Linked DNA regions of Rhinolophus ferrumequinum. The protein of the gene in region 2 binds, or shares a complex with, the protein of the main gene of each other region. Links are inferred from orthologs where the notes say so. Each region holds a gene or a part of one and is shown on either strand. Other genes may lie near its edges.

The links. The genes of interacting proteins can lie anywhere in the genome.
Region 1: the proteins of TUBGCP3 (region 2) and TUBGCP4 are in contact, whole or in part, in a cryo-EM structure (PDB 7QJ0), measured with the Homo sapiens proteins. The link is inferred for Rhinolophus ferrumequinum from reciprocal best matches to the Homo sapiens genes TUBGCP3 and TUBGCP4. Residues at the interface, in NP_006313.1 of Homo sapiens: Arg252, Asp253, Tyr256, Gln259, Ile261, Asp262, Lys264, Arg305, Ser312, Leu313, Arg315, Leu319, Gln322, Ser323, Cys325, Ala326, His329, Arg333, Tyr336, Arg337, Ser340, His343, Ser344, His424, Pro425, Tyr593, His595; in NP_001273343.1 of Homo sapiens: His35, Pro36, Ser37, Glu38, Ser40, Val41, Arg44, His116, Leu117, Ser118, Ser120, His121, Tyr124, Phe125, Asp127, Gln128, Leu131, Pro134, Lys159, His160, Cys162, Gly163, Gly164, Leu165, Pro166, Arg169, Leu630, Ser631.

What each region holds. Positions count from the first base shown.
Region 1 is NC_046289.1:62,429,683-62,437,265, forward strand, and holds the start of TUBGCP4 (gamma-tubulin complex component 4), read right to left. Parts: upstream 3,112-7,583; 5' UTR 2,893-3,111; coding exon 2,815-2,892; intron 1-2,814. Other genes in the region: ZSCAN29 (zinc finger and SCAN domain-containing protein 29), read left to right, coding at 4,337-4,654, 5,140-5,344, 7,105-7,583. UniProt on the Homo sapiens protein: Component of the gamma-tubulin ring complex (gTuRC) which mediates microtubule nucleation.
Region 2 is NC_046287.1:55,254,480-55,261,502, reverse strand, and holds the start of TUBGCP3 (gamma-tubulin complex component 3), read left to right. Parts: upstream 1-3,964; 5' UTR 3,965-4,194; coding exon 4,195-4,270; intron 4,271-5,759; coding exon of another isoform or gene 5,760-6,101; intron 6,102-7,023. Other genes in the region: 60S ribosomal protein L34-like, read right to left, coding at 5,760-6,101. UniProt on the Homo sapiens protein: Component of the gamma-tubulin ring complex (gTuRC) which mediates microtubule nucleation.

The sequences.
Region 1 (7,583 bases), on a different chromosome or scaffold from region 2:
TTCTCCACAACTTCACCAACACTTATTATTTTCTGGGTTTTTTTTGTTTTTGTTTTTTTGAATAATAGCCATCCTAAAGGGTATGAAGTGGTATCTCACTATGCTTTTGATTTGCATTTCCCTAATGATTACTGATATTGATCATCTTTTCATTTGTTTATTGGCCACTATATATCTTCTTTGGAGAATCAACCAACTTACTTATCCCAGGCACTGTGTTAACGTTCTGAAATTAAATATTGAACAAGATTAGATATAGTTGCTACCCCCAAAGAGCTTAGCATATTGCACATTCGTATAGTGAGTATTGTATTTTGTGGATGCCATCTTTCTATGACAGTAAATGTGGTAATAAATAGGCAAAGAAGAATTTTTCTGTTTCTGAGTCCATAATAATTTGATTAGGAATCCCCTTAATGTAGATTTTAATAACACAATGATAACCATATCCACAAATTAATAACTCAGAGGCATCATGATGTAGTGCTTAAGAACCTGGTCTTTGGAGCCAGGCTGTCTGGGTTTGAATCCCTGAGTTGCCTCTTACTTGCTTGAAATCTTAGGCAGATTTCAATACCTCTCTATGCCTCAGTTTTCATACCTATAACGCAGCGATAATAATTGTGAGGATTAAATAAGTTATGACATGTACATCACATGTGCCAAGTACATAACAAGTATTCAATATATGTAAGCAATAGTTTTATTATTGGGACAGCTCTACCCAGCTAGCAAGTGATACTCCCATTAAAACTGGCATTTTGAGCAGTGCTTTTTGGCACAGTTTTAGAAAAGCTGAAGGTCTAGTTATTCTATAACAGCAAACAATACCTTGAAGTTATTGATATCATTTGGTGTAACCTAGTTATATGAACAGGCATTCTCTACGTTAGAGTTACTGAAGTCAAAACAGAAAATATAAAGCCAGATCTGTGGCAAAGTCATTCTACTATTAAATTCAATGTTGGTGATTTAGTTTCAGCAAAACAACAGTATATGTCACATTATATCACTGGTTCTCAATCAGGGCCAATTTTGCCCCCCAAAGGAAATTTCGTAATGGCTGGAGATATTTTTGGTTGCCACAACTCGGGGTATTACTGGCCTCCTGTGAGCAGAGGCCTTGGATTTTACTAAACATCCTACAATGCACAGGAGAGCCCTCCACAACAGAGAATTATCCTGTCCAAAATGTCAATAGTGCCAGTGTTAATGTGAATTGGTAAATTTGGTAGTTTTGCTTACTTTGTAAAAATATTTGGTTTTATAGCTGTTCAAGAGAGCAATATGCTTGAGTTTATACTTAGCGTAATATGTATACATATTCAATATGACAATAAAATGATTTTTATCAACATTGGGCATTCATGACAATTTTCCCCTTTATTCAATGTGAAAACCACTGCTCTGCAGAAAGTATGCAGTATTTACTGGTTTTGGTGGCCTTTTTTTACACAAATATCTACTCTGTGGCACAAACTGTGCCAGGTGCTTCTGGTACATCCATGAAGACCACTGTGGTCTTTGCCTCCATGGGCAATCTGTGCAAGAAAAAGACTAGGAAGAGGTGACAACAATAAATAATATGACTTGTGGTTAAGTCCTCTAAGGGAAAAAAACAAGTTGCTGTGATAGAAAATAATGGCATAGGGGAGGAGGATACTGAAAGAGATGGTCAGAGAAAGTTTTTCTGAGGTGACTTTAAAGCTGAGACCCTGAGGAAAACATCTGATGGAAACTTTTTTATAAGAAAGGAAGGCAGCTATCTTTTCTATATTGTTATCTCTTTTTACTTCAGATCATAAAGCACACACAAATACTTCCTGAACATTTTCCTCCTATATGCCTGGCATTGTGCTAGTTTTACAGGGGAAAATAAATAACAATAGGAATCTGTTTGGTTTATAGGTTTTATAGACTAAAAATATAATTTTTCTGCTCTTCCCCAGCCTATTCTGCCAAGTCTCATATGAATAGGCATGACTGTCATTAGACAGAGCTAGTTACAACTCTTGCCATTATCAGGACTAACCACCAACCATAAAAGTTCTCTGAGCTTCAGTTTGCTCATTTGTAAACTAGGGCTAACAATACCTAGTTACTAACTTATCCAGAGGATTAGATAACATTACTGGAGGCAGAAGTACAAGAGTAGTTCAGATACTGGCGCCTGACAGACCTGGGTTCAAGGCCAAGCTTGCTCATTACTATCTGTGTGGAGTTAGGTGGTTATGAAGAGTAAATGAGATAATGCATCTAGTACACAGCCCTTCCTCCTCATGCATTCCTGGTTACAGGAAGGCCCCCTTCCAAGTTCTCCTATTGCACAAATTTCCTGAGAAATGATCATGAGGGAAATTTCCTGAGAAATGATCATTCATTTTTTTTCATGCAACAAAATTGGCTGAACCTTTATTGTGTGTTATCCTCTGGTCTAGCTTTCAAAACTCAATTTAAAACAGTGCAAGCGAGAAAATGGGAGAAAGTGCCTCCTTCACTTTTACATCCAGTTGCCCAGCAACTCGCTCAAACACCTCAACTTGAAGCGGGATTCGGGGCTCCCTCTCTCCCTCCCCGAAGGCGGGGTCATTCTGGGTCTGCCCTCCGTTTCCCAGCCTAAGCCCAGCCCTCTCAAGGTGTTACGTCAGCCGTAGGCCCCTCGGGGCACTGCCCTCCAGTACCTGAGCAGGGCCATTCCCCCCGCCCCTCGGCCCTGCAAGGCCCGCCCCCTCAGTCCCTCAGAATTCCCCCACGTTTTGGCTCAGGTCTACCCATTCAGCTCCCGTCAGTTTCCGCGTTCTGAGCCGGACAGACCTGAAGGCCGCTCCGCTTGTTCCAGGTGAAAATGGACCCTGGGTACCCGCTCAGAGCCAAGAGCAGTTCGTGGATCATTCCCACGCCGGATCTCAAGTCCCTATATACGTCGCTCCCTCCTCCAGCGCCTCTCCAGGCGACCGCAGAGTCGAATGCTCCCTTCTGGAAACGTGCACAGGCTTTTGGGACCTACGGTTCCTCCTGAATCTACCCGCCGCGACTGCTGCGGGAGGAGCGCACAGGGAGCGGGAAAGGGGTCCACGCGCCGCGTCCGGAAGTGCGCCGGCTCTGCTGGGTTCCCCGTTAGCTCCAGCCCCGGCTCCGCCGGAGAGTCCTGGTAGCTGCCTTTGCGCATGCGCCCTCAGCGCCTGAGTCACCCACTCGGACTTCCGGTTTTGGAGCTGGACTAGGAGGCTGGATTGCCGGGCCTGGGGCCGACCCCGGGTGGGTGAGGCTGGCCCGCGGACATAGATGCGAGTGGGTTGAGGGACAGCCCTAGAGGGAGACACTCCCGGGGATGGACCGGAAGGTGCTCTCAGAGCCTTAGCCGGGTTGGGGGCCTCTGGAGGGGACTGCACGACGGCTCTGAGAGTGACCTGGCCGGAGGGAGCGAAGACAAAGAGGCCGGAACCCCGCACCAGCCGCTCCTAGAGCTGAACTCCGCGCCCGCTAACCTCGCAGCACTCGGATCTTCCGGCCGGCACCCGAGCTCGTCCTCAGGAGACCCATTACTACTACCCCCTCAGAATCCTCCTCTCCACCAACTCAGTGCGACTCTCCCCAAGCCCACCCGGCCCTCGCGTCAGAAGCCAAAACCAACTTCTCCCAATGCGCGAGGTCTCCCGTCAGTAGTTCCCGAATGTTTTGCTGAGCGGTTACTTCTGCTGTGAGGGAAAACAAAGACCCGAGATTCAGTACTTGATTTTTGTCTGGGGTGGGTATTGCCAGTTGTGGTGTCCAAGGGGGCAGGGCGGACGTAGAGGGCCTCGGGAAGCACTGCGGAGGTACTGGGTGAGGTCACCTGCGACCCGCGGGACACAGGCTTTTTGTTGCCTTGAACACGATGGTGACTTGCCTTTAGATCCTCTGAGCTCCAGGTTTCCCATATGGTTCAAACTCATTGTGCAACATTGGTTAAGGGAGCTAAGTGGGATCAGATTTGGGGGAGGTGGAAGAGGAGCAGACAACTCTTTGCTGCTTCCCCGGGCTCCCCTGGGAAGTCGCCCAGAAATGCAGCTTTTGAAAGGTTTCTCTCCATGCTGTTTTGGCTTGCTGTCCTGGAGTTGATGATGCCTCAGATGGCCACATGGAGCATATATATGGAAAGTCGGGCCAGCTCTGGCAAGACTTTAGACATATGAGTATATTCCTTCTGATAGTGCCCTCTCTCTCTACCCTAGGAGGCCACTCTTCTTAAAGAGAGAGAGACTCATCTGCAGGTAATTCTCCAAAGACATGGGAAGATAGGTGTAAGCCCTGGAACCCAGACCCTTAAGTGGAGGGAAGCTGCTTTCTGCTGTGAATGATGGCCAAACCCACTCTGAGAGGAAATGGCACTAACTCGGAGACCTACCGACAGCGCTTCAGGAAATTTCATTACCAGGAGGTAGCTGGGCCCCGTGAGGCTTTCAGCCAACTCTGGGAACTTTGCTGTCGGTGGCTAAGGCCGGAGGTGCGCACCAAGGAGCAGATTATAGAATTGTTGGTGCTAGAGCAATTCCTGACCATCTTACCTGGGGAAATCCAGAAGTGGGTACAGGAGCAATGTCCAGAAAGTGGAGAAGAGGCTGTGGCTCTGGTGGAAGATTTAGAAAGAGAGCCTGGAAGACCTGGACGTTCGGTGAGAAGGGAGGGGGAATTCAGAAGTGTGTGAACTGGGCTGGGGCAAGGATAAAAGGCCAAATTAAGGTATAGACAGGTTTAAAGAGGGGCATAATCTCCCGTGGTGATGCTTATACTTCTGATCCTGGAACAGGTAACTTTTTCAGACACAGATCATCTAGAGAGGCTACTTGGGTGTACCTTTGGTACCCTGTCATAATGAATTATTCATAGTTTCATAGTTTTTTACTTAATAAGGAAGAAAGTGGACTTATTTTTCTAGCCTATAGTTGGGTTTACTGTTTTGATCTTTTCCTTCCGGAATTCCGGCTGCTCTAAGCTAACAGTAACAGAATAAGAATGACCCTTGTTCACTATTAACACCCCTCACCCAACCCTAGCCATGTCCCAAGAGGATGGTCTCTTTTGGGGTATTAAATAATCTCCTCTGGGAATGCCCCTCATTATGACCTTGCAGTGACAATTAATGGGGGTTGTTTCTAGGTCACAGTCTCTGTGAAGGGGCAGGAAGTGCGCTTGGAGAAGATGACACCCCTGAAATCATCACGAGAGTTATTAAGTGTTCGGCAGGAGTCAGTGGAACCTCAGCCCAGGGGTGTACCCAAGAAAGAGAGGGCAAGAAGCCCAGACCTGGGACCGCAGGAGCAGATGAACCCAAAGGAGAAGCTCAGACCTTTGCAAAGGAGCGGTGAGGAGTAGATTCATATGGGAAGATAGGATGCCATTCTAAGTTGGGAAGTAGGGTTGGGAATAGTGAGTGGGAAAGGGATTTCAAGAATGAGTGAAAATTGTAGAGTATGCAGTTTTTGGGGACCTCCTGAAGGCATGTAGTTTAGCTCTGCTGCAGTAAGTATTCTTGTTATTTCCTCTTTTGATAAGTCTGCCAGAGGATGGTTCCCTAGTTTCTTTCAGAACTCGGAACTATTTTATTTCCTCTTGGTAATGATACTAGGTCAGTATTTTCTAGGTAAAAATTATTTTCTATATTTGAAGGTACATCTTTTAGTCATTTTCCTTCTCCAAAATAAACTGTATTTGTTTCTTTAAACTTTTCGCCAGAAGCTCCATTATTCAGACATACTGTTTTTGTTACTCTCCCTTGGAAACTTTTAAGTTCTCCAAATATGTTAATTGTGGAGAACTAAATTAGATATATTATTCCAGTGAGGGTCTGGTAGGTTGAGGCAGAGTAAGAATTTTACTTCAAAATTTCACTGTATTTTCTTTCCGAGTAGCTCGACTAATTCTTTGATGATTATTGTTCACCTGGTAACTCCCAGGACTCTCGTAGCCGTCCCCATTGTCTTTGTGCCTAGCGCCTATTCTTGTACATGACTGCGTAGAGCTTGTTTTTCTTCTTTGTACTCTGTTGAACTCCAAATTGTAAGTTTTTTACTTTGATCATTTCTTTAACTTATTGAGGTTGTTCTGAATTCTGACCTTATCGGCCAAAACGCCAGCCTTTTCAGCCAGTTTGGTAATGGTCTGTTTAGTCATTCAGATGCATTCCCTCAACCACACACACACAGACTTGCAGAATTAATCAGTTTTTGAACACCTATCATGTGCTCAACACCTTGCAGGGTATTCTGCAATAAGAAAAGATGCCTATCCTCAGAGAGCTTACAATATGATTGAGAACTAAACAGCAAATATAAATATGTGCTGAACTGAACTGTACTGAAACAATGTCAAACAATGGTTTGTCACTCAATTGTGTGAGTATAACAGAGTGGGAGATAAGGGAGGGCTGTAGGAAGGCTTCAAGGGGGCTTTGGCAAATACAGCTTCTTGAAGTGGGTTAAATTGGGATAGGGGAAGATTCTGATATGAATGGACAGTGCATAGTGGGCACTCAGGTTAAGGTCCAGCAGTATAGTACGTATGTGAGCTGAGGAAGCAAGAGCCTGGAGTTTGGTAGAACAGTGACCGTTATCTGGGTGTGAGAAGGTAAGACTTGGATGGTGGCAGTAGGAATACGGAAAGGGCATACTAAGGGAAAAACCTTTAGAACTTAGTGACTGAGTGTGAAGGAAACAGATGGGCTGAAGACCATCTTCCTTCTGTTCCCCTTGAAATCACTATGAGTTTAGTTCTCTAGCCCCAAGTGGAGAACTACAGGAGACAGGAGGTGGCTGTTCCCAGCAGGGCTAGGACCTGCCTACAGGAGGCCAGGAGGGCTAGGGAGCACCTTGGAACAGAATTACCTGCTCTGAACATACCAACAAAACCTTTTCCTCTCTTGCTACCCTGCTTTGGAAAATAAAATAGTTCTCATTTTTTGGTTTCATGTATTTTTCCCTTTCTTCAACCCACTGAACTTTCTGAAAATATTTCCTTAGACACTTTCTTTATAAGTCTCTTGGGTAAAAAAAGGCAGGTCTGAACTCAAAGATGTTTTTTATGGTCAGTCCAAACTATGATATCCTTTGTTTGCTTCCCTGCAAGCAGGATTTCCATTTCCTAAATCCGGTGTGGTCTCCAGGTTGGAGCGAGGAGAGTCTTGGATCCCAGATGTAGGCTCCAAGGAAAAGGAACTGCCAAGAGGCAGTCACACAGGAGACAGACGAATGCATGCTGATCTGTTACCATCCAGGAGAGAGAGAAGCTGGGTGGAACAGGATCCCTGGGGCTTTGAGGATGAGAAGGTGGCCGGTGTGCACTGGGGCTATGAAGAGACCAGAACTCTCCTTGCAATTCTCAGTCAGAATGAATTTTATGAGGCTCTCCGAAACTGTCATCGAAACAGCCAAGTATATGGGGCTGTAGCTGAGCGGCTGCGGGAGTATGGCTTCCTCCGGACCCTGGAACAGTGTCGGACCAAGTTCAAAGGTCTCCAGAAGAGCTATCGGAAAGTCAAGAGTGGCCATCCACCAGAGACCTGCCCTTTCTTTGAAGAGATGGAAGCCCTGATGAGTGCTCAGGTC
Region 2 (7,023 bases):
TGCCTGGAAACCCTAGCAATAAATAGGAAAAGTGTCTAAGAGATACATTGTGAGTAGTACGTTTATTTCCCATTGTGGGTATTACTGGGTTCAAGGAGCTGATTTTCCCAATTTCCTGACCAACTTTCCTTGGGATCTGGGAACGGGAAAGTGAAAAAAACTCCTGAGAACGGGTGGGAATTCCCACCTGGAAACCCTCGTCCTATGTCTGCATAACATAGTGCTCAAGCAACGATTTATAAGATTTTCATCCTCTGCAGATGGATTCCTATGTGGGTTGGAAATATTCTCAAAAAGTTCTCATTGTCTCCCTTGGACTTCACTGCTTCACTAGGATCTCTCAAGTCTCCACCAAGTCTTTCCCACATGCTTTCCTGCAGGTATTTGATCTCAGCCGTTTGTTTGCTCTCTCCATTTGTTGTCTCTCTCCATTTGTATTAGTCAGGTTTCTCTAGTGAAACAGAATCAACAGGATATCCATCTATATGTGTAGCCCTCTCCTTCTCTCTCATTTGTCTCTCTATCCACCACTTATCTGGTAAGAGAACGAGACTGATGTAAGAACTCAGCTTACGGCTGTGGGGGCTGGTAGATCCCCAATCTGCAGGCTATGTTGGCAGCTGGAGACCCAGGGAAGAGCCAATGTTGCAGTTCAAATATGAAGGCCATCAGCTGGCAGAATTCCTTCTTGCTTGGGGGAGGTCGGTCTTTTTGTTCTATTCAGGCTTTCTTCTGATTGAATGAGGCCCACCCACAGAAGAGAGGGTATTCTACTTTACTCAAAGTCTACTGATTTAAATGTTAATCTTATCTAAAAACACCCTCACAGAAATGCCTAGAACAATGTTTGTCCACACCTCTGGGTACCGTGTTTCCCCCAAAATAAGACCTAGCCAGACAATCAGCTCTAATGTGTCTTTTGGAGCAAACATTAATATAAGACCCGGTCTTATTTTACTATAAGACCGGATCTTATCTAACATAAGACTGGGTCTTATATTAATTTTTGCTACAAAAGACGCATTAGAGCTGATTGTCTGGCTAGGTTTTATTTTTGGGGAAACACGGTACTGTGGCACAACCAAGGTGACACACAAAACTAACCTTCACAGCATTAAAATCCTGGCTAGTCTGCCACTTGCACAAAGTCGGAACGCCAACCTTGGCCTACTGAGTGTCACTCTATTCATTTCCTAACAAGCCCCCCTTAAATGGTGACCCACGACTTTTTACCTCTTGCCCCACATAGAACCTGCCCTTTCTGGGGGGCAAAGCCAATGGGTTGGGCAGCCAGTCCTATCCTGGGAATCCTGCTGTTTTCTCTGATCAAGCTGTGGAGTGGGGACTGGAGCAGTCCTGCCAAGAAGACCACACACACCCTTTGTTCTCACTGGAGGCTTGATCATTTTTTTCAAAAATAATGTGTCTCAATTTGTGGTTTATCTTTGGTTGATTTCCAGTTCCCTGACTTGGTTCATTTTGACAAATTTGTCCAGTTTTATAGTTTTTTTGTTTGTTTTCTTCTGGAGAGGAGTTGCTTACATCTTCACCCACCATCTTTAGAAGTCCCTCCAGCTTCATGTGTTTAGAAGCTCTGTCATTAGGCACACACACATTTACAATTGTTGTGTCTTCCTAATGAGCTGACCCTCTTATCATTATGAAATATCCTTCTTTATCTCTGGCAATACTCATTGTCTTGAAGTCCATTCTATCTAATGCTAATGTAGTGACTCCAGCCTTATTATACTCATTGTTTTCATGGCATCTCTTTTCTCCAGATCCATTTACTTTCAATCTATTTATATGTTTATATTAAAATGTCTCATATACAACCTGTAAATAGGGCCTGCTTTTTCTTAAACTTATTCTGATTATCTTTGCCTTTTAATTAGAATGTTTCATCTACTAACATTTGTTGTAGTTCTTAATGTGGTTGGATATGTGTCATTGAAAAAGTTTGTTTTCGGTTGTCTTCCTTGATTTTTGTTTTCTCTATCTTTCATTGCTTCTGTCCACTGGCAAAAATAACTCTCCAGATAAATCCACAAGAAAAACGGTTTATACGGGAAAAGGAAAAAGAAACAAAAACCACCACCACAGTGTGGGAACTCACACCTCCAGCACAGGCCTCCAACCTGCTACCTACCTGAAGAAGGAAAAATAATGAGCCCGGTTCCAAGATGGCTATTCTATTTATTAGCATCCCTCCCCCTGAAGTTACCACAAAGTTCAACAGGAAGTCAGTGCTAGAGAGTTGACAAGGGGCCCAACTCCACCCACAGTCCTCCCAGCTCCATGGTTAAGCATGCCAAGATGTCAGTTCACTTTTATCACTTCTTCTGGATTATTTTCATCCTTTGGAATTCTGCTTTATTTGCTGAGGAAAATAGCCATTGTGATTGCTTTGGGAAATCAAGGAAAGGCCAATTTTTGCATACAGAGAAGGAGAGGTTCTGTACTCTGTTTAAGAAGGTTCAGGTGACTTGGAATTTCATGTTTTACCCAAATGTCTCCAAATGAAATCTCAGGATCCCACTTCTCAATTAATGACTCACTCTTAACATAAGAGACTTTGGCAGGACTGTGTGTTCATCTTGCATCATTATTTACATCTTGAACAATTAGGTTTAGAGTCTGGACCTCAGTTCTGACTACTCTGCAGTTATGAAAATAAGAGATTTCTTTTAGGGCTGCTATGGGAGCTCTGCAGTTCTGTGGCTGTAACTTGAACAAGAAATGTAAAGACCTGAGCTTTCTGAATGTACTCCAGTACAGTCCATCCTACCCTATAGTATCTGGAGTCATCATTACTGCCAAACTATCTGACTGTAGCAGCTACTTAATTTCCCAAGGTCTTGCTATCTGCCAGTGCTTTCTTCCAAGCAGCCACACATGATAATATAAGCTATTTTGGTGCTCCAACATGCCATGGATTCCATCTTCAAAAAGACCCCAATGTATTTGAGTTCAGACATGTGAACAACCCAATCTTGGATTCCTGTCTGAGGATCTGTTCCCTGGGATCACTCCTATTACCAAGGACTGTATAGGAGGGACCAACCTGCAAAACAGAAACGACTCTAACAATTTCAACATAGGGGATTTAATACAGGGAATTAGTTACATAGGCGGTTGAAACAGATGTGAAGAACTGAGATTAGCAAGTGCAGAAAGTGGCTACTTTTCATAGGGCTGAAGATACAGCAGTTGTTACTATTGCCCATATTCGAGTAAGATCTGTGATGGGAGTTGTAGAGAAGAGGTTGGAACCAAAGAAAGGTTTGACTGTAGCTGTGTGGCCTGTACAGCTCCTGGCTGGCTGCCAGGATCCTACACCTAGACCAATTGATGTGTGGATTGGGTCATTTGTTCCCAGATTGGGCAGTTCTCCTCCTGCACTAACCTGTAAGCGGCCGTTAATTCTCTTTAAAACGATTTGTAATTACCTGTTTGTTTCTCTCCAGGCCTTTCCCCTCTTTTACTCTTTATCTGAGTGATGACCATAGTTATCTGAGATAAGGAGAGAGAGGTATAGGGCTAGGGGATAGTAAGAAGCCACACACTGCTCTTATGAAAAACTAGATAATGTAGCAGGTATCGGTGCTCAACCAAATGTTAAAAATCACAAAGCCCTTGTATTCCTTTAAAGACTTCTTCCACTGAAAATGTGACTCGAACCAATGACTTTCTAAAAAAATGACGGACTATAAAGGTGCTACTGGACACCAAGCACTTTCACAGCAAGTCAGTGGCTGTCCGACCCTCGGGGACGTTTGGGGGTCTGCGTCTTCCTGACCCTTGGGCAGGTGTGGGGGCATCTGAGTACCGCGAACAATCCGTGCAGAGAGCGGCTCATGCGCTTGGTGCCGGAACTCTCAGGGCCTGGCGGCGGTGATCGGGGGAACGCGCGCGAACGCGCCGGGAACTCTTAGGCCAGCGCACGGGAGGCTCCGAGCGCCCGGAAGAAGCGGGGCATTGTGGGAAGGACCCGCAGTTTCGGCGGGTTCCGTTAAAATGGCGCCCTTGTCATCAGTGATGCCCGCGGGGCCTTAGCCTATTGGGGACACCGGGAGCCCGCAGGGCGCGGAGCGGGTGACGGGCACGGCGGGGTCTCCTGAGCGCGCCAGGCTCGGGGCGATCGGGCTAGGGCCCGCGGCTCCACGGGGTCCCCGTGGGCAGTCCCGGGAGAGGATGACGACCCCCGACCAGAAGTCGCCGAACGTCTTGCTGCAGAACCTGTGCTGCCGGATCCTGGGCAAGAGCGAAGGTAGCGGGGTTAGGCCGGGCAGCTCGAGATCCGAGGCGTGTCCTGGAGGCTGCTGTCTGCGCGTGCAGCGCGGAGGGGTCCAAGGGACTGGCGGGGCCGAGGCAGGGTGGTCCCCGGGTTCTGCAGGCCGGCGGTAGTGGAACCGCCGGCCAACGGCGTGCTGCAGCCTGTGGAGTGGAGGGATGGGAGGGTCGGGGTCCCTCAGGGCGGAGGAAGGAGGGCAGGACCTGGAGCTGAGTCACCGCTCCCTCCGCGCTCCGGTTCCGAAAGTGAAGCCCGGGAGGACATCAGCTCGCGAACGCGTCCACCTTCCCTAAAGTCACAGGACTCCGCAGGAGGCTTCCGCGCTTATTTGGGTGGAGAGAGCGGTGGACTGGTCCCCAGGCAATATACTGAGGGTGATGCTGCGGAGGGAGACGCCAGGTGGTGGCGAGCCACATCATTTTCCTTTTTCCGTTAGGAAAGTATAGCAGATTTGCATATGATGCGAAGGGGTATTTAAGACTTGAACTTGCCATATTTTTCTGCTGTAAAGAGCTGAGGGTTGGATTTGGTATAAAGCTATTACTGGAGAGTTCACATATCGAATACTGCTACCAAAACCCAATCCTGTGCAGTATGTAAAGCCATTCCGTTGTTGTGGTACTTTTGAAAAATGGCACTCCGTGTCGTTTCTTGATACTTGCTTTGGCGGGAGAAGGGGGAATGGGGATGCACCGTGAAAGAATTTTCTGGGTAATTGAAGCAACTGGATTACTTATTCCTTGAGGACCACAATGTGGAAAAGAAGTGCAGTTTTACGGGAACACTTTAAACAAAATTACATTTAAAACATTTAGGCTGTATTTTGACCTTTCATAACTCATGACAATTAGCGTGTCTAATTTATTTGATGTTGTGATAACCTTAGGAGAAAAGATGAATTTTTTGGTACTCCATTAAATGAACTGGTTTCACACAGTTCTTGCTACATTTTATGAGGTTTCGCTGTCACTTTATTCATCTAACAAATCTTTGGACACTCTCACCTTCACCTCCCCTCCAGGCACTATGCTAGGCGCTGGTGATGGAGAGATACACAGACAAATCATTCCTCTAATCTTATATTCTAATGGAGGAGACGTGATAAAGTAGGTGAATGTTTAATGTTAGTGATAAGTGCTGTGATTAAAAAGAAAGTAACCTTAAAGGGATATTGAGGGAAGAGGTAAGGGAAAGCCTTTGAGGAGATAATGTAAACAGACTGTAATGGAGTGAGGGAACATTGGAGAGGGTACAATGACCTTAAGGTGGGCATGGACGTGGCATGCTGTCATCTGTCTTTGTGTCTGGCTCTTCTGTATGTGTTATCTGTAGCCCTCTGAATTACCTTTCTGATTTGATGTTCTTAACCATGGGAGAAATCAGAGAGCTAAGATTGTTGATTATACATCCTTTTTTGAAAGTCTTTTAATTGTTTTTATTAAAAAAGATTTATTTATTTAGCTTTCTAACTTTGTGCTTGTGCCTTCAATGCTTTCACGACGATTTTCTGCTCCTCAATAAGGAAAGCACACTTGATCCTGTCATGGACACATTTAGCACACATGGATTCATCATAGGCCCTGCTGACATGTTTTTTCATTGTAGACAACCTTATTAGAACTTTAGTTCCAACAGCACCAACGCCACGAGGTCGGTCTGGGCACAAGCCACATGCAGATTTTGGTGCTTTCCCAACCTTCTTGGTATAAAGGTAAACAATTCTGTTACCAGGAGTTCTAGACAGCCCAGTTTTGTTAGAGGCTGTATTGCAGGACAGCCTCTGACGGTATGTCAGACTCTGGACCATTCTGAATGCCTGTAGACACCGTTCCTGGAAGAGCATGGCACAATTACATTCAGATCAGGGTTTTCATTGTACCAGTGGGTTCTAAATTTTCCTCCAGGAATAAACCACACATCCATTCCCATTGTCACACCTGGACTTTGAAGACCATTCATTGTGATGTTTCTCAATGAAGTGTGTGTGTGTGTGTGTGTGTGTGTGTGTGTGTGTCTGTGTGTGTTTTAATTTTAAGCTCCTTTTGATTTACTTAGTTTCACCCCTTCTAGGAGGTTCAAACATTCTCTTCAGCAGAGTTCTGTACCCTCCTACCCCTATTTAGAATTATGTCTAAGTTAAGAGTAAATAGGTGCTCTGAGATCCTGAGGGGATCTCTCTGAATAAAATATATCATAAAATCCATTAAAGGTCATGCTCTTTTTGCTCTGTTCTGGACAGTTAGGACTAACAAACAATTATGTTCATAATTCCAAATTATGCTACTGTTTACTGAAGAATTTATAAGTCATAGCTTGCCTTGTTCTGTTTTAATTTGTTCTACCTTCATGAGCGAAGGAACAGTATCCATTGCTGCCGTTAGTGTTTGACATTTAAAAAAAAATTTTATTAATGGGTATTTTATATGATAACTAAGTAGAACATTTAATTACTTCATTTTCTAATGACATGTTACAAACAATTGGCCTTACGCTTTTGCAATTTTATTGCTTTTTTGTATTATGAAATCGAGGCATAATAGATACTTGTTACTTTTAATCTCTTAATGTGAATTTTCTGTGAATCAATTTTTCATAAAGTATTTTTAAAAAATATTTTACAGTTGAAATTTTTCAATGGGACTGTCAGAAGCAAAGCACCTAACTATAATGGTGCTTGACATTTTTATAAAGTTACTATAACCATTATTTCCCACCTTTCCCAGCTTCTA